Linked DNA regions of Callithrix jacchus. The protein of the gene in region 4 interacts with the protein of the main gene of each other region in a pairwise test. Links are inferred from orthologs where the notes say so. Each region holds a gene or a part of one and is shown on either strand. Other genes may lie near its edges. The genes, in order: CLEC7A, TNMD, RNF8, TMEM79, RPRM, SFTPC and PLP2.

Region 1 (3,418 bases), on a different chromosome or scaffold from region 4:
GAATATTTTTGACTATTGGCTATATGGCAAGTACTAGTCACAGACTGTTGTGTACACCCATGTACACCAAAGCTGTCTGTTCTTTTAGAGACTATATTCTATGGAGAAAGGCAGATATATACAAGAAAGATAGTATGAAGCTGGTGCAAAAGTTATTGTGGTTTTTGACATTGAAAGTTTTTTCTTATGTCATTTTTTCCCTTTCTTTTTCTTATGTTTATTATATAGTACAACTATTTTTTTTATTTTACTTTAAGTTCTGAGATATACATGCAGAATGTGCAGGTTTGTTACATGGGTATACGTGTGCCATGCTGGCTTGCTGCACCTATCTGTCTCATCCCTTTCTACATATTTTTAAATAATGACAATATAAATTTGCATATTAAACAGTAGTAAACCTCACAAAAATCTTCATCTTCTCTTAGATTTAAAAAATTTTTAAGAACTCTAATTAATGCTTTAATATCAAAATATCTACTATAAATATTCCCTCCACCCACACCAAATTCATTTTTTGGGGAGAAGGCAAATCGTGATAGTGATTGTGACACATGGGCACATAATTTAGAGGCTAGGGGTTTTTTGATAAGAGTTTTCTTTTTTTATTGAGATGAAATCCACATAACATAAAATCAGCCATTTTAAAGTGAATAATTTAGTGAAATTTGTACAATTTCTTTTCACATATTAATTGACATTAGAGGGCTGCAAATGCCTCCCCAGTAATATAGAAATATCCACTGGAAATAAAAATAGCACCAGTGGGAAAGTATGAAAAAAAAGAAAAGAGACAAATCAGCACATGAGGAAATATAGTTTCATTCCAATAATACCTTTTTGCAGTAGTTACTGAAAAAAATGATAAAAATTATAAAACAGTACATCAGGAAACTAATAAAGCATGTTTCATATTACAAAATGTTAATGCTTGTTCCAATTAGATTGATTACTTTTTTATATTCATCAACAGACTTTGTGTATTTTTTGGTTGCTAGCGTTTAAAAAGCAGAAAACTTTCCTTTGAGAGCAGTTTCCATACTGCTAGAAGTTAAGGGACAAATTGTGGCAACAAACCATGCACTTCAATGGCATATTTGAGTACAAAAACAACTCTAATAGAGCCGGGAATTAAGATTATCTTATGGTTTATCCCAGGTAAATACCAAGTCAATGGCAAAATGAAACTTCAGGCTTGGGGCAAGGCGTGATGGCTTACATCTGTAATCCCGGCACTTTGGAAGGCCAAGGCAGGCAATCACTTGAGCCCAGGGGTTGGAGACTAGCCTGGTCAACATGGCAAAACCCAGTCTCTACAAAAAATACCAAAAGTTAGCCAGGCATGGTGACATGCACCTGTAGTCCCAGCTACCTCGGGGGAGCTGAGGTGAGGAGATGGCTGCAGTGAACCAAGATCGCGCCATTGCACTCCAGCCTGAGTAACAAAGTGAGATTCTATCAAAAAAAAAAAAAAAAAAAAAAAAGAAAGAAAAGAAAAGAAATTCAAGCTTGACTGCCCTGACTCCATGTCTAGAGATCTACTAACTAGAACAATAATACTGGCCTATGTGTAGGTCAACAAATACAGAAACCACAGCCTCCCCTTTCAATTTCTTGGGTACGATTACAGTTTGCCAAGCTCTCTGAACATTTTCTGCATTTATTTTGACTTCTGCTGTTACTCTTTTCTGTTCTGTTTTCTGTCCTCCTTACTAGCTCACGTATTTCTTCCCTCCTCCTCTACCCTATCCCTTACATTGCAAACTTCTTCTCACAAATACTATATGAGGGCACACTACACAATTGATCATAAATGATTGACACATGAATCCATACACAATTGAGAGATGAGTTTTCTTGGGTAGCTGTGGTTCTGATCTGAAATCTGTTAAAATAGAATACAATGATGTAATTAGAACAAATGTTAAGGAATACTGTCCACATGGCACTCAAATAAATTAGTAAGGATATTGGTGAAAAGAGTTCCGAAGTGTTTATATTATTGGAAAAAGGGGTTTAAATCTAAATTGTTTTTAATCTCAAGTGGTTAAATGAATAGTCTCCATTCTTAAGGCAGAAAAATGACACAATTTTTTTATTCAAGAAATAAGACTAGTTGCATAAACTTAAAAAAGATCCTGGCAAAGAAGAAAAATCATTTAATATTCTATTAAAAGTTCTTTATATATCTTTCAACCTATTACTTAGATGTTTCTTTATCAAATCAAGCAACAGCTCAGTGAAACTATTATTGAATATACTTAGTGAGTAGACCAAGCAGAAGTATTAATGCTGAAAGGAATCAAGAACTAAAAAAAAGAATCATAGATGCCTTTAAATCAGGTCATTTAAAGGAAGGGCAAACAACTCTTGTTTATTTTAATTTATCCTGAAAGCAGAATTATATCACAATACAATGCTTGACAGTTATGGTAATCAACATTGGTAAATGGAAGCACTGTCCTATTCAATTTGGTCTTCAAAATCCTGAAGGAGCAGTGTTAATTAGTCAAGCTCAAAGAGGATCACTGCACCTCAGTGCAAAAGCTATGACTTGGCGCTCTTTGTCTTGGGTATCTATCTCTTCTTCTTGACGCTGAGGTTGGAAGACTGAGAAACCTTTGCTCTAGAGATGACTAAGACTAGGATTAACTACTTAGTTTATACCTCAGGGAGAACGCTGATCAGCATTATTTTTAAAAATTTTTCCTTGACATCTAAGTGTTTTGGGGCTGGATTAAATAAATGCCACCAAGAAAACCACAGAGTACTAACATATCAAACAAAACGTTAACTTGGGCCCACGCTTGTGATTATAGAAAGAGTCCTCTAGCCATATGTTTAAAACAGCAAAAGAAAACTCAAGACAAACAAGTTCTATAAAAAAGTAGAAAATACATTTGGCCGATTGTTTGTTAATACATTCACTGTACTTGGCCTAGTAGAAGTAAAACAGTTAAGTGATTATACTCAGCAGTCGGTACCATTCACACCATTGGGTGAACAGACTCTGTGGTGAGAACAGAGGCAAATGAAAAAACACTTCGAATTAATTCTGCAAAGATTTTAAGATACAGTGTTAAACACCCTATAAAAAGCAATCTGACATAAAAGAAAACTAGTCAACACAAATGAAAAGTAGTAAAAAGAAAGAGAGAGAGAGAGACAGAGACATATATACATATAGGACATTGGAATTACATATAGACAGATATATACAGGACATTCAGACACATGCTAAAACAACTATGGTTAGTGTATTCTAAGAGTTAAAAGACAGTACTGAGAATGCTGGAAGGAAAATGGAAGTATAAGTGTTGAAAAAATAGATTTGAGAAAAAAACCATACTAAAATTATAGAACTGAAAATGTCACCAAACAAAATAAAAAATATAGACCTTTAATAGCAGATTAGCCA
Region 2 (3,507 bases), on a different chromosome or scaffold from region 4:
CACAAAGGCATGATACAATGGACTTTGGGGATTTGGGGGAAAGGGTGGGGGTGTGAAGGAATAAAAAACCATAAATAGGGTGCAGTGTGTACTGCTTGAGTGCTCACAAATCACCACTAAAGAACTTACTCATGTAACCAAATACCTCCTGTATCCCAATAACCTATGGAAAAATAAAACAAATAGAAAAAAATAAATAAAATTATTGGCTGATCTAAGAAAGCAATGTTAAAAATGAGTAGTCTTATTAAAAAAAAACTATAGAAACATCATGAAGTTCATATAACCTCAAAGTAATTTCATATCTTTTACATTTTACTATTTAAACTATAAATTAATGCTTGTTATGATCATCAAAGTACTCTAAAACAATCAGATTTCTTCTAAATCATTAATTAGAAATATTTTCAGTAACGTGCATTGTTAGATATATTTTATTGTGCTCTCATTCTGTGAAAATTGGTAATCCAAGTATGGCATGTTTGCTAATTACCAATTAATGACTGGCTCATCTTAACTCAACCTTGGGCAAAGCCGTTTCTATAAATTTCCTCAACTCTTAAATGGGAGAAAATGACTCCTGGCCCACAGGCATCTTGGTGAAGATTTTATTTGAAAATACTTTTCTGATAGAAAATTCCAGACAGACATTTTCATGATACAATAACTTTGAAGTTGAGCAATGAAGAATGCTACCTTCAAATGAAACTAGAAGGGGTGACAGATTGGTAGAGCATGAATTTTGAAACTGGAACTGGCTGGGACATCAAGGTTAACCTTAGCTTTTAACCACTTCTTTTCCTTTCCCCTTTGCTCCCTTTTCCTTTCCAAGCAAAGTATAAAGTGATTGGGAACTAGGCCTTACCTTTTCGTTAAGAAAGTGGTATATTGCAGGTTCTTTGTGGTTTGGGAAGAAAATCCCATTTGATTTCTCACCTCAGTAATTTCCTATGATGTCTGTTTCTGTGAATAATATTCATGGGTTTTTGTTTTTTAGACAACTGCCTTAGGAAGGTATCTAATCAGACACTGATCTAAAGAGAAGCCAGATGCAAAGGCTATGGAATGTTGAATTTGTCCTAAGTTGAGTTCCTGTTTATAGGAGAGCCCGAGACCCTTTTTGCTAGTTTAGCTTTCTCCTTTGCTGAGTCTGCACATTTGGAATATTTTAGTGTTGGCCTGCTGTGACTCACTGCCTGTCCAGCAGCTTAATTGATACTTAAGCAAGTTCACAATATGTCTTTTATATAATTAAACACTGGGGCTATGCACAAAAGGATATGTTTTTAATGCATCAGTTATGGAGACATTTTATCATCAGCCCCTTATTTCCACTGTCTTAACACAGCAGAGTACAATATGGTATTTAAGTATCTTTATGCTTTGACCTTTTCTACTTCCAAACCTGATGGATCCTCTCTGGGAAGGGAGTCTTATTACCTACAGCCAAACAAGATAGGTCAGATAATTTCCTTATGGCCAGCTTTTACACAGAAAAGTGGAGGGAAAATCAGAGTAATATTTTTAGGTTTAACGGCTGGCTTTAGACAAAAGGGATTCTGGTTTCTATGACACGCCTTGAGGAAGAGGGATTCTAGTTTCTATGGCTAGCCTTGGGAGAGAATGGGACTGAGAGACTGGTAGGCAGAAGGTCAGAGCAAAAGTTTTGCTTCTGAGGCCTTCATTTTGGGGCATTGTTTTCTGAGCCTCAACATAGTCATCCATGTTAGACAGGTCAGCTCCATTTTAATTGCTGGGAATATTCTCAGCAAACACTTACCCAGTGTGTTCAGCAGCAATCAGGCTGTTGGTGATAATGTAGAAGTTTATTAGAACATGAAGAGAGGAATTACCTACAAGTAATTCTGGAGAGCTGGCTACCAGGAGCCAAATGCCTCATAGGCAGAAATTCATTGAATAGCATGCATTTATTATATATTGCCAGCAGTTTAAGCATTTGAGCTCAAACCTCCTATTAGACCCTCCCCAGCATGCGAGCCACCCACCAGTTGCAAGGCATGATGACACGACAGATGACCCGTCCTCCTTGGTAGCAGTATGGATATGGGTAGTAACCTAGTAAAGGTTCACAGACGCGGCGGCAGTAGCGGTTGCCTCGACGGCAGTAAATACAGCAATAACCTCTCTCATCCAGCATGGGATCAAACTCTATTCCATTTTCAGTCTGAAAGAAGAAGAAGCCAGTGTTGGGGGTGGGAGAGGAAGGTTCACTAGCAAGAGTTCTCACCGAGCAGGGGAGAACTAGAAGACTGTATGAGTTGGGGGCTTGTGTGAAATTAAGCTCCTTAGCCTGATCATGGAGATATATCTACAGAGATCAAGACTGATTTTGAATGAGCCTCCTGGAGAGTCCAAGTTTCTTAAACATTTTTTGTTAAAGCCATGCTCATTCTCCTTCCAATGACTATGATCTGAGGGGTAGTAAGTTTTGTGAGGGCTCTTTTTTTCTCCTCTATCAAGAGTTTACATAAACATAACTCACATAGTCATTTATCGGAAGTTCTTCTTCACTTGCTTGTCTGGCGTGACGGGTCTTCTCTACCTTTACCTGAGGGACCACCCACTGTTCATTTTGTTCAATCCCTTTCTTTTCATTGGCAGGAAAGTGAAGATCTTCTCCGTCCTCCTCAAAGTCTTGTAACTCAGAAACTAAGATAATAAATGCAAAGTTGTGATGCAACTGCTTTGCAAATGTTCCTGAAAGAAGCGCTTGGGGGAATAGCAGCTGGGGAGAGAGATTTTCATCATTGTGTCTTCAAACTGGCATCATTTAGGCACGGACCACTTTTCCAAGCTCCTTCAGCTGATATTTTAGAGTAGTTTCCAAAACAAGTCTGATCATTTATACATACACAGACTTCTTTGCTTCTTTGGCATCAAACATTTACTGCGTTGCCTTACTAGCATACTAAATTAAAAACTGAGGACAGGGGACTTCTGTATCTCCTACAATGATGACTTTACCCATGATAGATGCTCAATAAATATTTCTTGCTTGCCTGAATTGATTTGACATCCTCCCACTTCCCTTATGTTTCTTGTCTTATTTATTTATTTATTTTTTTACTTTTTGTTTAGAAATAATCTTAGATTTATGGAAGATTTGCAGAAGTGGTACAGAGTTCACATATTCTTAAGGCAGTTTCCCCTAATGTTGTCTTATATAACTGTGGTACAATGATAAAAAATCAGGAGTTAGCATTGGTACAAGGTTATTAACTAAACTACAGACTTTATTCTGATTTCATTCGTATTTCTACTAATGTGCTTTTTATGTTCTAGCATCCAGTCCAGGATACCACACTGCATTTAGTCTCCTTTCTTATATCTCCAAAGAGAACCCACAGATGCTTAAATTGGTGGGAATAACCTCTCTTGGGTAATAGAGTAGTCTATGTTGTGCAGAATGAAGGAGGCCAAATTCCATGTTAGCTAAACAGAGTAAGACATCCAGGGGTCTTTACCTTCTCTATGGGCTGACTGGAA
Region 3 (4,233 bases), on a different chromosome or scaffold from region 4:
TGAAAGATCATCTTGTCCTTGTCCACCTTCACTATGATTATCCCTTTCCTCCTGCGCACAATTTCTACTGTTTCCCAAATAACCAGGAAATACAGCCGGGTGTGGTGGCTCACACCTGTAATCCCAGCACTTTGGGAGGCCCAGGCGAGCAGGCCAGGAGTTCAAGACCAGCCTGGCCAACATGGTGAAACCCCCCTCTCTACTGGAAATACAAAAATTAGCCAGGGATAGCGGTGCACATTTGTAATTCCTACTATTCCAGCTACTTCCAGCTACTTGGAAGACTGAGGCAGAAGAATCCTTGAACCCAGGAGGTGGAGGTGTGATCACACCACTGCACTCCAGCCTGGGTGATGGAATATTCTGTCAAAAAAAAAAAAAAAAAAAGCACCACAAAACAAAAAGCCCCAAACCAGTAAATATAACCATCCTTTCCCTTGGGGCAGAAAACTTCATGAAAACTAAATACAAGAGAATAAAAGGGGAGAAAGGTTCTGTTGGTTTCCTCAAAGGCAAAGATTCTTTATAGTACCTGAGAACTAGCTAATTTGCAATAAATCTCTAATTGTTTTTCCACCAAACTCCATGCATTGCTTTAACAAGCTTAAAGCCACTTATTTAGACAACCGATTTACTACAGTATTCCCATCAATGAAATGAAGGGAACTCTGTTTTATTATTTTATCTGCAACATCTGAGACTAAGAACAGGAAAGGCAGGGAACTGACCTACTTTGCTGTTACAATGTTATTAGTATACCTCCTAAAATCTTGTGCAAAACAGCTTGTCCTATGATTTGGGGACCATTACAATAACTACAACTTCTCTTGCCTTTGACTCAGATTTCTTTTCAGGCTATGCCATGACCTGACCTTGCAGGCCTCTCCTCCACACAGGTCCCTGAAGCCAGCCAGTCTTAACACTGTGTCATCATTCACTCAGTTTGTATGGGTCTCTCCCCATAGAAGTGGCCCTGACACAAAACGATCAAAATGTGTAGAATATGTCTAAGAGTGCTTTATAGTCTTCTTGCCCTTCCTGCAGGTGCTTTAATCCTTCCTCCCCATCCCACTTGCCCAAGGCTGCAGTCCTACCAAGCTATTCAGAAGTCATAAATTAATCCACAACAACGGAATCTAAAGGAGTAACACCTGCCCACTAAGTTAACTTACAAGGTTGTGTGTATGCAGGGATCACATTCAATAATGTATTAAGTAACAGTTATACATAAAAATAATTTATTTTGTGTGTACTGTTCAGGTTATTACTCAGGTGTTGGTGTTTTAATTTGTTAAACTTCTCAGAAACATATACTGTTGGAAAGGGCCAGGCAGGGAAAGGTCAGTGCTCAAGCTAAAGGAATGAATGCCTAATGTGGACTTTTGGGCACTAACACCTGGATAGAAGAGGTATTTGGGGGCAGAGGTGTTTTCTTCATGTTCCCGAAATCACGACATACAAGTAACCCTTTATAACCCTCTCTAATCTAGCAACTAAAGTTGAGCCTGAACATGAATCCCTCCCCTGACTTGAAGAACTACTGCTCTGGGATGGAACTAAATAATCCATATCTTGGCACTTGATCATACAGCCCATATACAGTTCTTAGACTGCTTCATTGTATAAATCCTCTCTCCCCACTTAAGCCTGAAACTCTTTGAGCTCACAAATTTTATGTGTTCTCATTGTACACCAATGTTATGTACTCTGTCAACACCTGGCAGACTGAATTGAGGAGTATGACTTACAGGCAAAATCTACCTGAACATACGTAAGGCTCAAAAGACTTTTTGAGTTTACAACATCACGACCAACTATCCACTTTTACTGCAAAGGGAACCTTTCATACAGATTTCCAAAACCCAAATGGTTCCCCGTCATCACCAGCTTGTCCCTGACTCAGTTTTCCTCTCAACCTGATTGCAATCTAACTCCATCCTCCCTTCCCTCGCCCTTTGAGGATGCATCATCTTCAAAGTGCATCTTGAACCGTGCCAGGAACGTGCCTCATCTTTCCCCTTTAAAAAATTTTCATTTGGAATTATATTAACAAAGGCGACAGGCATCCTCTGGAGAGAACTCGGAATCCCTGCCCGATCCCTCCTTTAGGGGTGCCACTCGGACGTACCGAGCTTCGCGGGAGAAATGCGGCCCAGCCTAAGGCGCCCCTGTTCCTCAGAGGTGGGAAGGAGGAAGACATTTCTACTTGAGAGTTTGATCACTTTAAGGGACAAAACCCAAAACTCGCATTCGTTTTCAAAGCAAACTCGAGAAAGTTCAAGCTCCGGGCAGCCCTTCCAGGCCCCGCCTCGGCTGCCCAGCGGCTCGCGGCTCCAATCCACTGTTCCCAGGCCCGGCACCGCTGGGCTCCGGGCGCCCTAAATGGGATCTGGCCAGGCCCCGCCCTCCACTCCGCTATAACACCGCTTCTCCTCACATCCTCTGCGCGTCCCTCTCCTTCCCGGCCCCGACCCCACTCCCCGCAGACCCAGGCCTCTCTGGGCTGGGCCCTCTTCTCGCCCCACCGCCCGCGGGCCAGGCCTCGTCCTCACCCCAATCCTTGTGGCCCTCCAGAGCCGAACTCTCTTCTCTTCCTTTCTCCCACTCGGTCCCTATTTCTCCCCAAATACCTCCCACCTTAGACCCTTCAGCCGCTCGAGCCAGAACCGCTCCCTCCCTTCTCTCCCCAGGATCCACCCCCCCCATCCCCTCGTTCGTCTTCTGTGTGCCTGCCTCCTCTCTGCCATTCATTCCGCCCACCTAGACGCCTTCCTCCTTCTCCGGAGCCCCGCTCCCTCCAGCCCCTGCCCTCCGCCCCACAGGACGCCTTCCCTTGTACCTCACACCCATCTTCCAGTAGCAGCCACCCGGCGCTCATCCCCACCCGCCGCAGGCACCAGCTCCGACCACCGGCGCGGTTTCCCGTGACCAAGAAGCCAGGCTCCCCCATCGTCTACTCGACCCCGGGGGCGGTCAGCACGGAACTAGACCCCGACCCGGGTTCCTGCAGCCTCGCAGCAACCAGGCAGCTTCCATAGCTAAACAACAGACAGAAGCAATCGCCACGCGCTCACATCGATGCGAATACAAGCTCCGCCTGCCCGCCGTCGACCCGGAAGCAGGAGCACTGCACCTGCGCGAGAGGAAGGCAGCCGCCCCGGGGCGGAGAGGGTTGGCTGGTAGCGGATCTCGACTCCTGCGGGGCGGGCGCGGCTCGAGGGCTCTCCTCGTCACGTGACACCTTCTTTTGCCAGCTCCCAAACCATCACCTAGTCCTAGCCGCCCCAGACTGGAACCTCTCCTCACCTTTCCTCTTTTTTAAAAAAATCATGTAAAACTATAGCCCACTTTTAAACAACTTTAAACTTTCCATCAGTTTTAAGTCCGCTTAGCCTGTTCCTAAATAGCTTCTATTTTGCACGACCTCCTCATATTGCCGAAGCAAAAAATAAATTACACTAGGCAAATCTACAAAGACAGAAAGCACAGTTACTTGGGGCGAGGTGTGGGAGCGGGGATTAATGCAGATGGGGTTGGAGAAATGGAAGGAAAGCAGTAATAGAAATGTTCTAAAAGTGGATTGTGGTGACAGTTGCACAAGTGTATAAATTAATTTATTAAAAAGTCATGGAAGTGCTGTAATCCCAGCACTTTGGGAGGCTGAGAGGGGCGGATCGCTTGAGCTCAGGAGTTCCAGACCAACCAGGCCAACCTGGGGAGACCCCGTCTCAAAAAAGAGGGGGGAGGGGAGAGGAGGGGAGGGAGACAAGGGGACCCGGAACGTCTGGGAGGGGAGCGGAGGGGAGGGGAAGAGGCCAGGAACGGAGGGAAGGTGAAGGGAGGGGAGAGGCGGGAACAGAGGGAAAGGGAGGAGAGGGTAGAGGGGCGGGAACGAAGGAAAGGGGAGGAGAGAGGAGAGGAGGAGGAACGGAGGGAAGGGGAGGGGAGGGGGCCAGGAAGGTAGGTGGGAGTCAAAGCTGCACTCATGGAAATGCTTCCCTAAGCTGTGCATAGGTATCTGTTGGTGGCCCCACCCCACCTTGGCATTCTATCCCAGGAACAGCAAGCACACCTGGAAACCACTGTGACATTTAGTCTGTGTGTCTCCTTAGACTCCTCTTGGCTGTGATAGATTGTCAGTCTTTCCTTGTTTTGATGACCTCGACAATTTGAGGGGTACTAGAGAGATATTTGTATAATGTCCCTCAGTTGGGATTTGTCTGATGTTTTTCT
Region 4 (4,365 bases):
GTGTGATCTTGACTCACTGCAACTTCCACCTCCTGGGTTCAAGTGATTCTCCTGCCTCAGCCTCCCGAGTAGCTGACAGGCACCTGCCACCACACCTGGCTAATTTTTGTATTTTTAGTAGAGACAGAGTTTCACCATGTTGGCCAGGCTAGTCTTGAACTCCTGACCTTGTGATCTGCCCACCTCCCAAAGTGCTAGGATTACAGGCGTAAGCTGTTAAGCCCAGCTTTTTATTTATTTTTTTGAGATGGAGTCTAGCTCTGTCGTCCAGGCTGGAGTCCAGTGGCACTATATTGGCTCACTGCAACCTCCACCTCCTAGGCTCAAGCGATTCTCCTCCCTCAGCCTCCTGAGTAGCTGGGACTACAGGCATGCACCATAATGCCCAGCTAATTTTTGTATTTGTAGTAGAGACAGGGTTTCACCATGTTGGCCAGTCTGGTCTCAAACTTCTAACCTCAAATGATCCGCCACCTCAGCTTCCCAAAGTGCTGAGATTATAGGCATGAGCCACCGCACCTTGTCTCTATTTTTAAATATATATATATATTTTTTAAATTGCACATTTGGTCACAGGGGGTATTCAACTAGAGACCAAAAAAGCTACCTGACCAGATTGCCACAGGAGTGGCTGTAATAGGTGCATTGATCTAGATGACACCTGAAAGCCTTCTCGTTCTACACAGTTATATGTGTCTCTGAAATCAGCTTCCTATGGAAGACATATGAGCTGACCATCTGCTACCAGTTGAGTTAAGGTGCGAAAGAGAAAGTGGACTTATCTCTCTAGGGCACACATTTGGGCCAGTGTAGAATCCAGAAAGCTCCTGCCCCTGGCTCTCCAGACATTCAGATGCCCCTCTCCCATGCCCCACCCCCTGCCCCAACTTACCGGGAGATGGCAAAGAGACCAGTGAGCAGGGGGAGCAGCTTGAGGGTATCCTGGGGCAGGTAGGTGGAAAGCACGGCCAGGTTGAAGAAGTAGAGGATAAAGAGCTGGACCGACTGGGCCACATATCGCCGGTGGATCTCCACCTCCCGCCGTGGCTCCCCAAAGGGCCGAAGGGCAGAAAACCATAACAGGCTCAGCCCGTACACCAGGATCCCTGGGTGGAGTTGGGAAATACAGGGTAGGGTCAGAATAGGCAAGGGATGCGTGCAAGAAGCGGTCAGCTGGGGGCAGGTTCACTGTGGGTGGTACATGGCCATGGGCTTTACACAGTGGGGTGGAGGTGGTCCTGGGAGGAGATGGGCATGCAGAGTGGTGGGGGGTGGGAGACACTGAGGGGCCCAGGCCAAGTGAAGGGAAACCCTCCTGCTCCCCATGCCGGGCTTCCCGATGCCCCCTTTTGTCTCACGGGCTCACCCAGCACAATGGGGAAGGTGGCAAAGACCCCGCAGCGCAGTGTGTAGATCAGGCGGGAACTCATGGTGGGCAGCCGTGGCACATCAAAGGGCAGGAAGGCATATGCCCCATATAGTAGGCAGGGAAAGAGGAGAAGTGCAGCTCCCACAGAGGCCACGGCCCTTAGCCATTCACGGTCTCCACAGCTTCCGCAGCCCCCACAGGAACGGCCAGGCGGCCTCACCACTGCCTCAGCCCACTTGCACTCAGTGGAGTTGGGGTGGGTGGCCCGGGGGGGCACAAAGGTTCGGCGTTCGCCCTCGCCTGCCTCACAGCGCACGATAAGGTCATCTTGGGGTCGCCGCTCAATGCACTGTAGGTCAATAGGCACGAAGGCACGGGCTGCTTTCTCAGGCAGCAGATTGGCATCATCTTCGGTCAGCTCCTCTAGCTTAGTAAGTGGTTCTGACTCAGGGGGCTCCGGTTCAATGTCCCGCCAGCCAGGGGGATCTGGGAACGGAGCACTGGGCTGAGGGCCAGTCCCCCAGGGCAAGGTGGCAGCCTCGCTTACTGTGCTGTCTAGACCATCTTCAGCTCCCTCTATGGCTGTAGGAGACCCAGCTGAAGATCCCACTCGGAGGGACTCAGCTCCCGGGGACTCGACCCCACCTTCCCCTTCTGGCTGCTGGCCATTGGGGACCAAGGCCTGGGGCGAGCTCTTCTCTGGGGCCTCAGACCTCTTCACTTCCAGCAGGGCCAGGGGCTCCTGTTCTGTCATCCTGGAGCCTCAGTTCTGGGATCTACCACAATGTCATGTCATCCTGCAAGGAGCAGAGGAAAGCTCTGTCAGAAACCCCGGTCTTCTAGTTTTTAGGATGGGTTGACAAAACTCATACTCTCCAGGGCAACTGGCTTCATGGGCTTTGGCCCCTTCTGGAGCCTTAGGAAGAACGTGGTACAGAGGAAGACGCTGAAACAGAGGGAGGAGGGAAGGAAGTGAACAGCTGAAATGAAATGGAGGCACCCTTTCGACATCAAATGCCATTCAACAGGAGAGGGTGAGTCAAGGGACACAGGCCCTGGCACTGTGACCTCAGTCAGCCCCCACCCACGCCTTCTATGCCCCTCCACCAAAACCCCTGGAGTCATAACCACCCTAATGCAGGAATAGGAGGTAGAGGTAGAGGAGTTGTCTAGAACTTTGCCAAGTTTCCTTCCCACCGAGGATCTTCCTGTAGAAAAAGAAGCTTCCCCTCCACTGTCCCATCTCCCCTTCTCCCTACACATCCCTCCTTGGAACCTTCCTGGGTTCCAAGTGAGACCAGTGATTTGCCAACTAATCTGTCCCAAAGAGCTGACGGTTGCAGGGCACCCTGTCTCTTCATTGGCACTTGGTCAGTTCCCAAACTCCTCACTAGCCCACCTCATCCATCTCCGCAGGGCCTGGGTCTGTTATTTCGACTTTTAGGTCCGATCATGGCTGTTTACCATGCCTTCTTTCCTGTCTTTCTCCCCTCCCTGCTGCCCTCCAACTCATTCTGGATGGGACTGATTTTCCATCCCTCATATCAAGGGTCCTCCAAACCTTGCAGTTTGGACCCATGACATCCTCTTACTTTCCGTGTGGAGTGAAGTAGAGGGTCCCATCCGTCAGTCTGTCAGTCTGTCAGTCCGTCCGGGAGGGAGCTGCCCAGCTACCTGCTGGCTCTGCAAGTATTTCTCTCTGTCTCCCTCCCTTTACCTGTGTCTCAAAACCTGTCTGACCAGAGCAGGTGGGGCCCAGATTAAAGGGGCAGGCCCCGCCCTGCTGAATCTGCCGACAAAAAAAGCCTTAGAGGAGGATGTCATCCTTTCTGAAAGTTGGGATGCATCTGGGCAAAGGGGTAAGTTCACATTCTAGGCACCTGGAATGTGTAAGGGCTCCCAGCTCAGGAAAGCAGAGGGAGAAAGTGAATTTGTGCACCAAAGGGTGCTCGGAGTAGGTTGGGATACCCAGAAAAGAGATGGAATTTGTACACTTATTCATTCAGTAAATATTTATTGAACACCAATTATTAGCTAGGCACTTTTCTAGGCAGACACAGAAGAACAGAACAAGATGACAGTCAAGGTCTCTGCCCTTGAGAAACTTATATTCTATTAGGGTAACATAATGAAGACTAGCAACTAAATCAGTTTGACAATTTTAACAGGAAAGACCTCTTTAGTAAGGTAATGTTTGAGCTGAAATCTGATGGGAAATCAAGAGTATGAGTGTTACAGGCAGAGGAACAGCAAGTGAGTGAGACCAATGGGTGGCAAAGACTTAGGCTGTTTCAGGAACAGAAAGAAGGTGGGTGGCTGGAGCCAGGAGCATAGCGGTGGAAGGGCAATTTATGTTCTCAGTACAATGTGTACACAGGCCAAAAAAAAAAAAAACCCAAAAAACAAAAGCATAAAACCCTTGCTTTTAATTTATTTTTTTGAGACAGAGCCTCCCTCTGTCACCCAGACTGGAGTGCAGTGGCACGATCTCTGCTCACTGCAACCTTTGGGTCTCGGGTTCAAGCGATTCTCCTGCCTCAGCCTCCCTAGTAGCTGGGACTACAGGTGGGTGCCACCACGCCCAGCTAATTTTTTTTATTATTATTTTTAGTAGCGAGGGGTTTTCACCATGTTGGCCAGGATGGTCTTGATTTCTTGACCTCATGATCTGCCCGCCTTGGCCTCCTAAAGTGCTGGGATTACAGGCGTGAGCCACTGGGCCTGGCCTAAAAAAACCTCTTGCTTTTTAAACTTAGGTTTAAGCTAAAGCAAGACAAAGCAGTCATGTTCCTAGCTGTGAGCCCACCTGCCCTGATTTCCAGCGTGAGGATCAGGAGATAGAAATGTGAGGGAGTAGCATGTCATTCCTATGAGACCTTATCCCTAAAGTCATTTGAGCTTTGTGAGAGCAGAGATAGTGTCTAGCTTGCTCACTTCTGTGTCCCTAGAATCCTGCACTGTGGCCGGAAGACAGGAGTTCAATAAATGTTGCTGGC
Region 5 (3,668 bases), on a different chromosome or scaffold from region 4:
TTACCCCAGGGAGTATTAACATCACTAACGTCACTGTGTACCTTAGCATCTACTTTTCCTCGCATTTTATAATGTCTTCCCCTACCATGGGCAGCATCCCAGAGCCGCCTAGCTGACGTTAGTTAGGGTAGAGACTCTCTCCCTAAAGGCTGGCCAAGCCGTCTCTTCCTTTCATTAGCGGTGTAATCCTGTTCCCGCCGGAGCCTGGCACGGAAGTGTAATCTTCCCGCGGGGGCCCTGCTGTCGTCTAGCCTACCTGAGAGCTGAGACCAAATGAAATATAAAATATTAACGATAAGAGAAAACAAAGGATGCTGCTTCCAGGACGACTCCTGTGCCTGAGTCTGGGGTCTGTCTCACTCATCCCTGGGCCTCTCCGTCTGGCCCAGACCTTCGCCCCTCCACGGGATCCACAAGTTGAATCGCAGCTCTCCAAGGTGAACTGCTCTGGCCGAGAGCCAGACTCCTCACCGCCGCCCGGTTTTCCCTGCTGGGGAGCGCAGAATGACCACCAGGAGGCCAGGAACCAAACGCTTAAATGTTGCATTTATTAAGGAAATGTTAAATAAGAAAAAAACAAAAAGTCAAAACTGTGTCACGGATGTCAAGAGCACTTTTGTGGCGTAAACCGTGCAGTCACGAGCTACGAGTTCTATTTTAGGTCTTTGTCCTAGGGCCAGCAGGAACGCCAGGCACCTCCCAAAAGACCCAGTGGGAAATGCACTAAAAGAAACAACGCACCCCGTTCAAATTCGCAGGCTTCCCCTCCCCCCACCCTTTTCCCACAATGACAAAACTCTAACCCCTCAGGCAGGCAAACAGGCCACGGGGGCAGAAAAAGACTCATCAAATATTTGTATTCAAGCAAACAAACACAGAACCTTTTAAAACGGCACGTTACAATCAAAGGTATTTATCGCCTCTCCCCTCCAGGGAGGGAGAAGAGTGAGAGCGCATCCCGACACGGATTTGTGCGACCCCATCATGTCTGCTGCGTGGTTTTTAACAGGTCATTTTTCCGGTCACAAGGCGATCAGTGCCTCTGGTTTCTCCCCTGCCCGCCCTCTCCACCTGCCCCCAGAGCTTGGCCCACCTGCGGGTGGAAAAGGACCTTCGCCCCGTCGGTCTCCCCGCATTCCAAGCAAGTAGCAGCTTCCAAAGTTCTGCGCCCTAATCACCCTCTTCTTGTCACTTTCTGCTGAGTCCAGAAGTCTGGGCGCTCTCCTCCGACAGCCAGGCATGAGGACTTTCAGAGGGCGAGGGAGAAACCGGTCGCTTCTCTCAGAAAGGCGGAAGTCAAGAGAAATAATCGACTCCGACAGGTTTGCTTCGCCCAGTCTCTGATGGAGAGGGGCACAGCCGGGCTGGCAAAGTGGGCAGGCGTGGGAGCGATTGCCGCGGGGGCGGAGGGCGGGTCAGTAAGGCCCCACGACCACCGCCTCCACCTCCTTAGACGGTCTCCTTTCCTTCACGAGGAAGTTGATCATGCCCTCGGACTTGATGAGCAGATTGCAGCCGAGGAAGAAGATGCCGAAGACCACGGTGAGCGACAGCACGCACATGACGGCGATCTGCACCACGCGCATGATGTACAGGCTGCGCTCGTCCGGGCCTCCCTCGGCGAAGCCGTCGTCGGTCACCACCGACGCCTGGGTGCAGCAGCGCATGGCGCGCTCCAGCGCCTCGCTGCTGTTGGCCAGGAACAGGCCCGCCACGTCGGTCTGGTTGCCCAGGGCCAGATTCATCGCAGGAGCCGGTGGGCGCCGCGGATCCGAGGGGTGAGAAGGAACCGGCGCTGTAGGAACAGGTGCCGGGCTGAGCGCTCACTCGCAGACTTGCGCGCGCGAGGGCTCTTCGCTCTGCTTTCGAAAGTCCTGGACCGTGGGAGTTTCTCAGGAGCCTCTCCGACGCGCGCAGCTGCTGGGCTCTTCTAACGCCGTCCGCTCCAGCCCAGGCGGTGCTCGTTCCCGGCGCTTGCTCGACTGGGGGCTGTTGGAACTTGGCGGGGCTGGGCCAGCCCCGCCGTGGGAGGTGCGGGCGCGGCGGCTGCAGCGGCGGGGCGGCTGCACTGAGCGAACAGCGGCCCCTTCCGGCCGCACCGCTGCGCTGCGCGCTGCTCTCGGGCGGTGGAGGAAGCAAAGGGGCGAACCTGGTCTTCCTTTTTATTGCTTGCTTCTTTTGCAAACTCTAAAGGCCAGGCAGAGGTCACAGTACTATTCCGGCTTGATGGATGATTAAATAGTTTGGGGGGGGGGTGCGGTCAGCTGAAAGTTTCAGAGGAACTGGGACACACCAGCTCTGCGTGTCCTTTGCTGCTGCCCCCCTGCCCTCTGGGCGGATGGAAAGTGGCGATAAATTGCAGGTGCCAGATGGTACCGGCCGAGGCCACCCGCCCGCCGCCTGCTCTTGACTCCATCTCGCCTGAGTTGGATTTCTAGTGTAGTGGGTGTGATCTGAGAATGTTTCTTACAAAGTAATGAATTTGGCAAGACAGAAAGGCATGGAAGAAGGCAGAAACGAAGGAAGGAAAAGTAAAAAGGAAGGGAGGGAGAAAGAAGAGCTCTACACCCAACCTCCTTTATAAAAACGATTGGGAGACAGTGCAAAGCAGGTTTTCTCGTGAGGTTTGAGGCCAAGGGAAGGGGGTTAGAGGAAGGAGGAGTTACTCTGTGGCCCTTGGGTGGAGGTGGTTGCCGGGAGCAGGGTCACCTCTCTAGTAAAGGAGGTGAACAGAGTGACCACTTGCTTGTAATTTTAATTGCAGATGAGTGTTTGGATGTACTTCCAGTATTTTGACCGCTGGCAGTAAATCAGTTGTTTAAGGGAATTGCTCACCAACATCCATCATCTAGAACGCTGGCCAAATGCTGGGAACCCTCCGCATTTTCCATAAGCTGATGCATTTAGCCCTTAGTCATTTTAAACTAAAAACAGATGTTTTTATGGGCCTGGTCGAAGTTCCAGCCATTGTGATTTTACTGTAGGTTTCAATGAAATTGTATAAACCTGTCAGATTTTCTTAACTCTTAAAGAATACTGCATGTTCCCACGCCTTCTTTTTTATTTTCTTTCCCATCCCTCTTCTTCCCCATTACTCCCTGCCTTCCTCCCTCTTTATTTCAACTGTAACAGCTGAAAACCAGTAACTTGAACTTTTGATGGCATACTCTTACTTTCTATTAAATGTTCTCACCACAAAGAATCAATAAAAATTTGAGATAATAGCTATGCTACTCCGATTTAATCATTCCACAATGTATATGTGTATCAAAATATCACTTTGTACCTCATAAATATGTACAATTATTTATCAATTAAAATTAAAATGAAACTAGAAAACAGTAGCTGTCTTGCCATTTTAACTCTATTCTTAATTTCATTCTGTTTGCTTCATAAGTCCTCTTATTTCTGTCTCTTAAAACATCATTTATTCCATCTTCAGAGTGTTGCTTAAATGTTTTTGCTCTGCTTCATGACTATCATAAAATAGAACTAAATGCCTTCTGGTTGAGTTTTCAATCTTTTGATGTTTATTGTATATTAGTTGCAATAAGTTTGAGTTTTAAGTAGCTGTTGTTATTTTTATTTTATTTTATTTTAGAGGGAGTCTTGCTCTGTCACCCAGCCTGGAGTGCACTGGTCAATCTCAGCTCACTGCAACCTTCACC
Region 6 (4,292 bases), on a different chromosome or scaffold from region 4:
TCCCAGCTACTCGGGAGGCTGAGGTGGCAGGATCACCAGAGTCCAGGAGGTCAAGGCTGCAGTGAGCAGTGATCTTGCTACTGCACACCCGCCTGGGTAATAAAGTGAGACCCTGTCTCAAAAAAAAAAAGAAAGGAGGTTAAGAGAGCAAGGCCTAAAGAGGGAGGCGTGGACTCTGCCTCAGTCACCTGAGTTGGGAGGTGAAGGGACTTCAGAGACCACCTGGCCCAAAGAGTGAAAGGGAGCTGAGAGGAAGGGTGAGTCAGCCCAAAGTCATGGGCAGATGTGGCCTTATGAATACGCAGAGATGGCTTTGGGGAAAGCAGTACGAGAGAACGGAGAAGGAGACTGTCCCAAAAGTTGATCATATTTGGGTGAGTAGCATTCTCACAGCAAATTTAGGATCAGAGGATGTAGAAAGGGAGTCTAGAGGGGTGGGGTGTAGACCACAGGGTGAGTGGCTGATTCGAGGATAAGGAGACTGGGAGCCCACCAGTGACCAGAGCCAGCCCTGTGTAGGGCTGTCCAGGTGGAAGAAAACAGTGTCAGACCTGGAATCTGCTATCAGCACAGTCTGCAATTGACAGACATGCCCACAGCAAAGAAGGAAGCACTGCACATGAGTAAGAGCTTGCCACCAGCGGGGACAGAGTTTCCAGAATTAGGAAAATAATGACTGGGGGCAAGTTTGAGGTTGTTACTAGATGTGTGGGAGGAGGCAAGGTGAGAGAAAGAGTGCTTGAAGTGGGAATTCGGCCCTTGCAGGGAAATATACATTTATGAAATACCCAAAACTGACATCAAAGCACCTCCTGCCTTCAGCGAGTCCCCTCAGAATCTACAGGCACTGTCTCCAGAACCCGCCTCCGGGAGCACATCCCTAGTCATGGAGAAATTCTTTTGGGAAATGTGATGGTCAAACCCTTGGCCACCCGAGAGGTTCAGGCTGACAGAAGAACAAGGAAAGCCACAGGGGCAGGTGCCAGCAAGGAAGGCAGGCATGCCAACAAGATACCCACAGTGAGAGGTGCAGATGCCCCAAGGGCAAGTTTGCTCAGCTAACCCAGGTTTGCTCTTGCTGGGGCTAAGAGGACTCATGTGCCAGGGCCAAGGGCCCTTGGGGGCTCTCACAGCTGGCTTATCTGGGCTTTGGTTCTGGAGGGTCAGGAACAAACAGGCTTCAAAGCCAAGGTCTTGGCTGGCACACAGGGGGCCTGGTCCTTCACCTCTGTCCTCTCTCCCTACCGACACATATAAGGCCCTGGTCACACCTGGAGGAGGAGGAGAGGAGAGCATAGCGCCTGCGATAAGATGGATGTGGGCAGCAAAGAGGTCCTGATGGAGAGCCCGCCGGTGAGAGAGAGCAGAGAGAGAGAGAGAGAGAGAAAGAGAGAGAGAGAGAGAGAGAGAGAGAGAGAGAGAGAGAGAGAAAGAGAGAGCGAGAGAGAGAGAGAGAGAGAGAGAGAGTGTGTGTGTGTGTGTGTGTGTGTGTGTGTGTGTGTGTGATGGGCCCTGCCTCCTCTAACTTCCCTGCCCTGTTTCCTTATCCAGATCCACTCACACAACTAACGTAGGGCTGTGATAAGTCAGCATGGGGACACCAAGACCACTAAGCCAGAGACCCTTGGGAAGCAGTTCATGGGCCGAGAGCCACTATAGGGGTTGATGGAAAGGGCTGTTTGTAGACAGCCCCAAGCAAGAAGTCATGAAATACACCAGAGGTCAGGGGATACTTCACAAAGGAAATGTCACTCCTACTTAATGGGGGTGATCACTTGGGGAACAGAGAGGGGCTGGCCATGGCTGGGATGCCAGAGGGCTGGGGTAAGCGCAGGAAGAGACAGGTGAAGCAGGCTCTCTGGGGTCCCTCAAAACTAGACCCTGCTTCTCAGCTTCTGTGTGTCTGTGTGTTTGGTAGAATCCAGGCCTTCTCCTTCAAGAAGCCTCCTCTAATCTCAGCCCTTCCCTGCCCATCTGTCACATCAGCTATCCAGCCCTAGGTGGCCATAGGAGGGTGTCCAGCTTGTGCAGGGAGAGGAGGGGATACCCTCATGACCTCACGCCGGTCTCCCTGCCTGCCCCACCCTGTCAGGACTACTCCGTAGCTCCCCGGGGCCGATTTGGCATCCCCTGCTGCCCGGTGCACCTGAAACGCCTTCTCATCGTGGTGGTGGTGGTGGTCCTTGTCGTCGTGGTGATTGTGGGAGCCCTGCTCATGGGTCTCCACATGAGCCAGAAACACACGGAGATGGTGAGAGGTGTGGGATGGGGCAGCAGTGGGGCACAGGACATGCCAGACAGAGGGGCTGGGTGGGATGGGCGTTAGGAAAGTGTCCAAGGGGAGTGGAGGGGAGGCAAGGGGCACAGCTAGAAGGAAAGAGGCAGGAACCAGGTGGCAACCCAGCCCAGGCTTTTCCACAAGGCCCCTGTCCTGCAGCAGGACAGCTGACTCCCTCCATCACCTGGTTCCACTCAGCCTCCCTGAGCTCTCGGGAAAGAGGGAAGCACATCTGAGTACAGAGGTCTCAGTATGTGGATTGGTACTGCAGGCTGATTAGGAAAGGGGAAGACCAGGCAGATCTGTGCGCTTTTCCCAGGTCCTGGAGATGAGCATTGGGGCCCCGGAAGCCCAGCAACGCCTGGCCCTGAGTGAGCATCTGGGTACCACTGCCACCTTCTCCATCGGCTCCACAGGCCTCGTGGTCTATGACTACCAGCGGGTGGGTATGCCGGGACCTCCTGACCCTGGGATTAATGACAAGACTCTGCTAGAGCCACCCAGCTAGGCCACTTCACATCCATCTGTCCCCTCCTCCAGCCCTTTTTGCCTGAACCCCTCCTAGTATGACTCCTGTGCTTAACCTAGACAGATCTGGCTAAGGATCTGGATCAGGGAGGGAGCAGGGCAGGAACCCCCGAATGATCGCCAGCATTCTGTGTCCAGCTCCTGATCACCTACAAGCCAGCCCCTGGCACCTGCTGCTACATCATGAAGATTGCTCCGGAGAGCATCCCCAGTCTGGAGGCTCTCACTAGAAAAGTCCAGAACTTCCAGGTATGTGTGTGAGTGAAAGGAGTGGGCTGTCTCCCTGCCAGGCCTGCTGGGAGGAGTGTCTGAATGGTGGCTATTTGTCGTCTGTAAAGTACCGTTCCTCGTGGGCTGTGGACTGACTATGCCTCTCCATACTCCCCTGCACGACTCCTTTCCTACCCACCCTGCTGCCAAGCTGCTGGGCTCAGGTGAGCCCACTCACCACCTGGGGGCTTCTGACTCCAGCACAGTCCCCCTTTCCTGGTGAGGAAACAGAGGCTCAGAGAGATTGCCTGACATGCCTGAAGTATGACAATCCGGGCTGCACATGGGATAGAAACTCACTTCCCAGATTCCAAATGGAATGCTTTCTGCAGGCCAAGCCCGAAATGCCAACCTCTAAGCTGGGCCAGGAGGAGGGGCGTGATGCAGGCTCAGCACCCTCCAGAGGGGACTCCGGCTTCCTGGGCATGGCTGTGAGCACCCTGTGTGGCGAGGTGCCGCTCTACTACATCTAGAACGCTTCAGGTGAGCAGGTGTGATCCCAGGGACCCTGATGAGCAGCGGAGGAGCCCTCGGGCCACCTGCGCTGAGCAGTGGAGGAGCGCTCAGGCTGACCAGGCGCTGGGGCGTCCACTGAAGCCTGGTCATTCAGGGAGCTCAGGGGAGGGGAGGCTCATACCCGTATTTCCCACTACCGGGAACCTCTGTCCAACCTCAACGTTCCTTTGCTTCACAGGGTCAGTGGAAGCCCCAAGGGGACAGGAAACGCCCAGAGAAAAGGGTCTTTTGCAACTTTTGCAGACGGGCAAGAAGCTGCTTCTGCCCACACCGCGGGGACAGGCCCTGGAGAAATGGGAATTTGGGGAGAGGATGGGAGTGGGCGGAGGTGGCGCCCAGGGGCCGGGGAACTCCTGCCACAACAGAATAAAGCAGCCTAATTGAAAAGCAAAGGGTCTGCTTCCATCTTCCCGCAGGACGCAGTGCTGCCCCGGCGGCGGCCGGCCAGAAAGGGAAGGGACTTGAGGGAGCAGAGAGGGGTTTGCCATTCTTCCTCTGTCTCAGGGCACTGAAGGACTGGGTCCACCCCGGCGGGGTAGAGGGACTTGCCGGGAGCCATCCACGGGCTTTCGGCGCCCTCCAGCGGCGTCTCGGGAGGAGGGAGAGACGCCGAGACAGCGAGAGAGAGCGCAAAGAGCGAGACGCGAGAGAGCGAGGGTCCGAGAAGGGGAGCGAGGGAGACGCGGGCTGAGAGACCGAC
Region 7 (4,465 bases), on a different chromosome or scaffold from region 4:
TTACCTCAATGAGGGGGTGGGAATTGGTTGGCTGGGAATGTTGTGGGGATGGAGAGGAGTATTTCAATGGAGGAGTTATTTGCAGACTTCAGAGAGAAATGAGGGGAGTTCACCTACGCTGGGCCATCTGCGGGGTCTGCAGGTGAGGAAAAGAGAGAAAGCATTGGCTGAATCTATATGCCCATTTTTAAAAACAAGATCCAAAGTCCATGAACATTTTATGCACAAGAATACTGAAGATTATGATACCTATTGGTACAAAAGCCCATAAGTACCAACACTGGACAGAGTTGGCATTCATGTCTTTAAGAGATTGCTTTCCTTCTCTCCTCTGCCCTCTCAGCAACCCCCTTGCCCCCCACCAACACACACACACACACACACACACACACACTTACCAGTGGGGGCTGCTGTATGTCTTGGCTGCCGAAAGGGGAAGGTAACATAGGCATCATAGCCAAAGAGACATGTAGCGATTAGGCCCAGTACCTGGGGGACAGGATCAGAGTCGGGGGGTTAGATTAGGTTGTCAGGTTACTCAGTCTCTTATCTTCTTGTATTCACCACCTCCAGCACCTGCCCCATGCAGATGGGACTGAAGCCCGAGGTTGGGAAGCCAAAGAACCCCAGTGGAGGCATCTTACCCCACCCTCCCTCCTCCTTATGCTTCAACACAGGGAGGTCACACTGTGGTCCTACACGTAGCACACACAATTTATACTACTTTTTTTTTTTTTTGAGAAACAGTCGCACTGTCACCCAGGCTGGAATACAGTGGCATGATGTCAGCTCACTGCAACCTTTGTCTCCTGGGTTCAAGTGATTCTCCTGCCTCAGTCTCCTTAGTAGTTGGGACTACAGGCACCCACCACCATGCCCGGCTAATTTTTGCATTTTTAGAAGAGACTGGGTTTCACCATGTTGGCCAGGCTGTTCTCAAACTCCTGACCTCAATGATTCACCTGCCTTGGCCTCAGCCTCCCAAAGTGCTGGGAATACAGGCATGAGCCACCCTGCCCGGCCCCAATTCCTACTACATTTGGGAAAAAGTTCTTGCAGATGGTAGTCTAGTGCATTGACAAAGGGGTCACCTGATTGTACTTCCCACCAAGGTCCTTGTGTCTGACAAGGGACCGCCTTCACAGCAAATGAAGACCTTGGGAGGTAAAACCAAGGCCTGGGACATGCATGCCCTGAGGACAAATGTGACTTGCTATGGATCACAGGCTTTCTGCTAGAAGCACGGACAGAAATGGCCCCTGGCTGATTCCTCAAACCCTTCCCTCTGTGCTTCAGAGCTGCTCCCATGACCTTTACCCCTGCGACGATTTTGGAGTGGTTTCCTCTCTCAACGAGGACAACAATGGAGGTGATCAGGTAGAGGATCGCAGCTATGAGGGTTCGGAAGAAATCCTGTGAAGTGTAGGGAGGAGAAGAGGGGAGTCAGCTTCCAGAGTTCCCCAGACAATCCTAATTGCCCAGACCCCTCCCTGGCCTTGCCATTGTTGACCCCTTCTCACACTCCAGGGCCAGTTGATGAATGGTATCTTGCTGTGCAGGTCACACATGTAGACAACAAAGAAAATAGCAGCAAGGATCATCTCAACCACGGACAGGGAGGAGTAGCCTGGTGTGGAGGCACTGAAGCAGATCAGGATCACCAGGCATAATATCTAGAAAAGGGAACATGGGAAAGGAGACCTAAGGGCTGAGGCGATCCGTTTAAATTGGGGGTCCCATATTCGTATGCCTACCAGGGCTGGGGAAATGACATATAATAATAGCTAAACACTTTTTGTGTGCTCATTGTGTTCCAAATTCACTTAATCATCACCACAATCTCATGCTGGGTACTATTATTACTCTAATTGATAGATGAGAAAACTGAGGCACAGAGAGGTTTAATGGCTTGCCCAGGTCACCCAGCAAGTAAGGAGTAGACTTGGGTGCCTCAGTTCCCTCCCCCTTTTCCTTCTAGGATATGGGCAGCCTGAGGGGAGTGGAGCTGCCAGGTGTTTTGCGAGCCCCGGTGACGCCGGCTTTGTGGCCTTGACCTAGGCGGGACACGCGGTTCCCCCAGCAACCCCTTTGGGAAGTGGTGAGAGTGACACCAGAGAGGCGGGACTCCGTTAAAGGCACCGCACCCCTTTTACAAGTGACTCAAAGGCAGCGCCCACTTTGAGGAGGGTGGAAACCCCGAAAAGCTAAGGACATCCCGCCCGGCCTCAGAAGGGCGAGGAAGAACTGGCAAAGGGTGGGGCGCTCTACACCGCGGGACTAGCGCGGGGGGCCCCACCCCAACAGGCCCTGCCCCTGGGCGCGCTGCCAGCCCGCCCTCCGGTGCCCAGGCCGCGCCACGCCCTGCCGCAGGAGGCCCCCACTTCCCAGCACCCCAGGACCCCTTCGATGCGTCCACTGATGAGTCCACACAGGCTCCCCCTACGCAGCCCTCCGTATGAGTTATAGGCTCCTTGCCTCACCCCGGGGCCACTAGATCTCAACTACCTTCTTTTCCAAACCCCACCGACTCGCCGTGCGCCCCGGGTTTCGGGCCTCCACCGTGAACCCACCCACCTGCACCTTACTGCCAAGCGCCCCGGCCATGTGCCCGCCTCACCCGGACCATCCGGTTCCGCGTGGTCCAGCCACCCCATCCCGCTTTTGCCCACGCGCCTGCCCCAGGACGCTCACAATCTCAGCAAACAGGAGGATTCCCTTTCGGGTGCGCGAGAAGTTAGTGCAGGCGGCCCAGCAGCCGGGGGCCGAGAGGCGCTCAGAATCCGCCATGGCATGGGCTGGAGTCCCTGGGCCCTCGAAGGATCTTCTCTTTTGCTCGTGGGTTCGAGGACGCCGCACACCCAGCCGTCTTGCCCGCCGTCTGGCCGGGAAGGGGGCCCCGGGGCGAAGGAGGGAGTGAATCACCGCGCAGAGCTGACGAGGGCGGGGCAGGAGGGGGCCGGGCCAGGTGGCTGCCGCCCCGGAAGCCCCCTCGCCCCGCCCGCCAAGGATACTCCCAGCCTGACGCACAGCCCCCAGGGCGCCCCACTGGCGGGATGCGCGGCAGCTCCAGGTATCATGAGCAGTAATAGCGGGACCCTTAGCCTTTTTGGAATGCAAATGCACCCGAGACAGCTTCAACTTAGAACCACGGGAATCTGCCTTTGGGAGGGAGTGACTCAGTTTCCTTAACTGAATAAAACGGCCGAGGCAGAGTTAAATCCGAAAGACTTGGGGCGCAGTACGTTGCCAGAATTCAGAACATTTTTGATTTCGGAGTCTTCCGGTGCATATACTCTCAGCCGGGGTTTGGAGCTGACGCGTTAAAAAAATTTTAAAAAGCCGGGCGCGGTGGCTCACGCCTGTAATCCCAGCACTTTGGGAGGCCAAGGCGGGCGGATCACGAGGTCAAGAGATCGAGACCATCCTGGTCAACATGGTGAAACCCCGTCTCTACTAAAAATACAAAAAAAAAAAAAAATTAGCCGGGCATGGTGGCGCGTGCCTGTAATCCCAGCTACTCAGAAGGCTGAGGCAGGAGAATTGCCTGAACCCAAGAAGCGGAGGTTGAGGTGAGCCGATATCGCGCCATTGCAGTCCAGCCTGGGTAACAAGAGTGAAACTCTGTCTCAATAAAATAAAATAAAATAAAATAATAAAAACAGTATTTATTCAAGAAAAAGCATGAAAGTTCACAATAACTGGTTAAGTAAGGATTGAAGAGTGTTCCTCAGCCAAGCGCGGTGGCTCATGCCTGTAATCCCAGCACTCTGAGAGGCTCAGGTGGAAGGATTGCTTGAGCCCAGGAGTTTGAGATCAATCTTGGGAACATAATCGTCTCTACAGATAATTTAAAAAATTAGTCTAGGCACGTGCCTGTAATCCCAACTACTCCGGACGCTGAGGTGGCAGGATTGCTTGAGCCCGGGAGTTCGAGGCTGCAGTGAACCCATGATCATGCCACTACACTCCTACCTGGGCAACAGAGCAATATCCTGTTTCCAAAAAAGGAAAAACAAAGAAAGAAAAGTGTTCCTCATTAGATCAGGTCAAGTTTTGTAACCAAATAGTGCCTAACTTGTCAGAAAACCACCAGTTTCCAGAGCTTTTTGTTCTCCAGAATTTTGGATAATGGATTGTGGACAGTGGAATAAACCTCTGAGCAGTGATGGGAATAAGAACCCACCCGTGTAAAGGCTGTGTGAGAACAGGGCTTGGTGAGCACTGAGCTGATAAGAAATAGGGCAAGCCTTGTTTCTAATGTTAGAGCCCAAGGCCAGGAGCAGTGGCTCACACCTGTGATCCTAACACTTTGGGAGGCCAAGGTGGGAGAATCACTTCAGCTCGAGTTTGAGACCAGCCTGGACAATGTAGTGAGAGCTTGTCTCTATTTAAAAAATATTTTTTTGTAATAGTGTTAGAGACCAGGGTCTGATTCTGTGCTCTGCAATCCCAAGGAAGTCCAGGA

The links.
Region 1: the proteins of TMEM79 (region 4) and CLEC7A interact in binary tests that used the Homo sapiens proteins (3 or more experiments, as listed by UniProt). The two-hybrid records come from large-scale screens. The link is inferred for Callithrix jacchus from reciprocal best matches to the Homo sapiens genes TMEM79 and CLEC7A.
Region 2: the proteins of TMEM79 (region 4) and TNMD interact in binary tests that used the Homo sapiens proteins (3 or more experiments, as listed by UniProt). The two-hybrid records come from large-scale screens. The link is inferred for Callithrix jacchus from reciprocal best matches to the Homo sapiens genes TMEM79 and TNMD.
Region 3: the proteins of TMEM79 (region 4) and RNF8 interact in binary tests that used the Homo sapiens proteins (3 or more experiments, as listed by UniProt). The two-hybrid records come from large-scale screens. The link is inferred for Callithrix jacchus from reciprocal best matches to the Homo sapiens genes TMEM79 and RNF8.
Region 5: the proteins of TMEM79 (region 4) and RPRM interact in binary tests that used the Homo sapiens proteins (3 or more experiments, as listed by UniProt). The two-hybrid records come from large-scale screens. The link is inferred for Callithrix jacchus from reciprocal best matches to the Homo sapiens genes TMEM79 and RPRM.
Region 6: the proteins of TMEM79 (region 4) and SFTPC interact in binary tests that used the Homo sapiens proteins (3 or more experiments, as listed by UniProt). The two-hybrid records come from large-scale screens. The link is inferred for Callithrix jacchus from reciprocal best matches to the Homo sapiens genes TMEM79 and SFTPC.
Region 7: the proteins of TMEM79 (region 4) and PLP2 interact in binary tests that used the Homo sapiens proteins (3 or more experiments, as listed by UniProt). The two-hybrid records come from large-scale screens. The link is inferred for Callithrix jacchus from reciprocal best matches to the Homo sapiens genes TMEM79 and PLP2.

The regions. Positions count from the first base shown.
Region 1 is NC_133510.1:12,875,704-12,879,121, reverse strand, and holds the end of CLEC7A (C-type lectin domain family 7 member A), read right to left. Parts: intron 1,886-3,418; coding exon 1,753-1,885; 3' UTR 582-1,752; downstream 1-581.
Region 2 is NC_133524.1:96,896,352-96,899,858, reverse strand, and holds the end of TNMD (tenomodulin), read right to left. Parts: intron 2,671-3,507; coding exon 2,504-2,670; intron 2,186-2,503; coding exon 1,976-2,185; 3' UTR 602-1,975; downstream 1-601. UniProt on the Homo sapiens protein: May be an angiogenesis inhibitor.
Region 3 is NC_133505.1:45,694,304-45,698,536, reverse strand, and holds the start of RNF8 (E3 ubiquitin-protein ligase RNF8), read right to left. Parts: upstream 3,052-4,233; 5' UTR 2,951-3,051; coding exon 2,840-2,950; intron 1-2,839. UniProt on the Homo sapiens protein: E3 ubiquitin-protein ligase that plays a key role in DNA damage signaling via 2 distinct roles: by mediating the 'Lys-63'-linked ubiquitination of histones H2A and H2AX and promoting the recruitment of DNA repair proteins at double-strand breaks (DSBs) sites, and by catalyzing 'Lys-48'-linked ubiquitination to remove target proteins from DNA damage sites.
Region 4 is NC_133519.1:16,674,524-16,678,888, reverse strand, and holds the start of TMEM79 (transmembrane protein 79), read right to left. Parts: upstream 3,071-4,365; 5' UTR 2,962-3,070; intron 2,404-2,961; coding exon of another isoform or gene 2,360-2,403; exon of another isoform or gene 2,249-2,359; intron 2,167-2,248; 5' UTR 2,124-2,166; coding exon 1,367-2,123; intron 1,107-1,366; coding exon 893-1,106; intron 1-892.
Region 5 is NC_133507.1:76,581,241-76,584,908, reverse strand, and holds RPRM (protein reprimo), read right to left. Parts: upstream 1,985-3,668; 5' UTR 1,746-1,984; coding exon 1,416-1,745; 3' UTR 530-1,415; downstream 1-529. UniProt on the Homo sapiens protein: May be involved in the regulation of p53-dependent G2 arrest of the cell cycle. Seems to induce cell cycle arrest by inhibiting CDK1 activity and nuclear translocation of the CDC2 cyclin B1 complex.
Region 6 is NC_133514.1:19,324,985-19,329,276, reverse strand, and holds SFTPC (surfactant protein C), read left to right. Parts: upstream 1-1,279; 5' UTR 1,280-1,311; coding exon 1,312-1,353; intron 1,354-2,092; coding exon 2,093-2,251; intron 2,252-2,597; coding exon 2,598-2,720; intron 2,721-2,944; coding exon 2,945-3,055; intron 3,056-3,408; coding exon 3,409-3,549; 3' UTR 3,550-3,559; intron 3,560-3,770; 3' UTR 3,771-3,984; downstream 3,985-4,292. UniProt on the Homo sapiens protein: Pulmonary surfactant associated proteins promote alveolar stability by lowering the surface tension at the air-liquid interface in the peripheral air spaces.
Region 7 is NC_133524.1:49,709,041-49,713,505, reverse strand, and holds the start of PLP2 (proteolipid protein 2), read right to left. Parts: upstream 2,891-4,465; 5' UTR 2,788-2,890; coding exon 2,692-2,787; intron 1,674-2,691; coding exon 1,521-1,673; intron 1,414-1,520; coding exon 1,318-1,413; intron 490-1,317; coding exon 399-489; intron 137-398; coding exon 114-136; 3' UTR 1-113. UniProt on the Homo sapiens protein: May play a role in cell differentiation in the intestinal epithelium.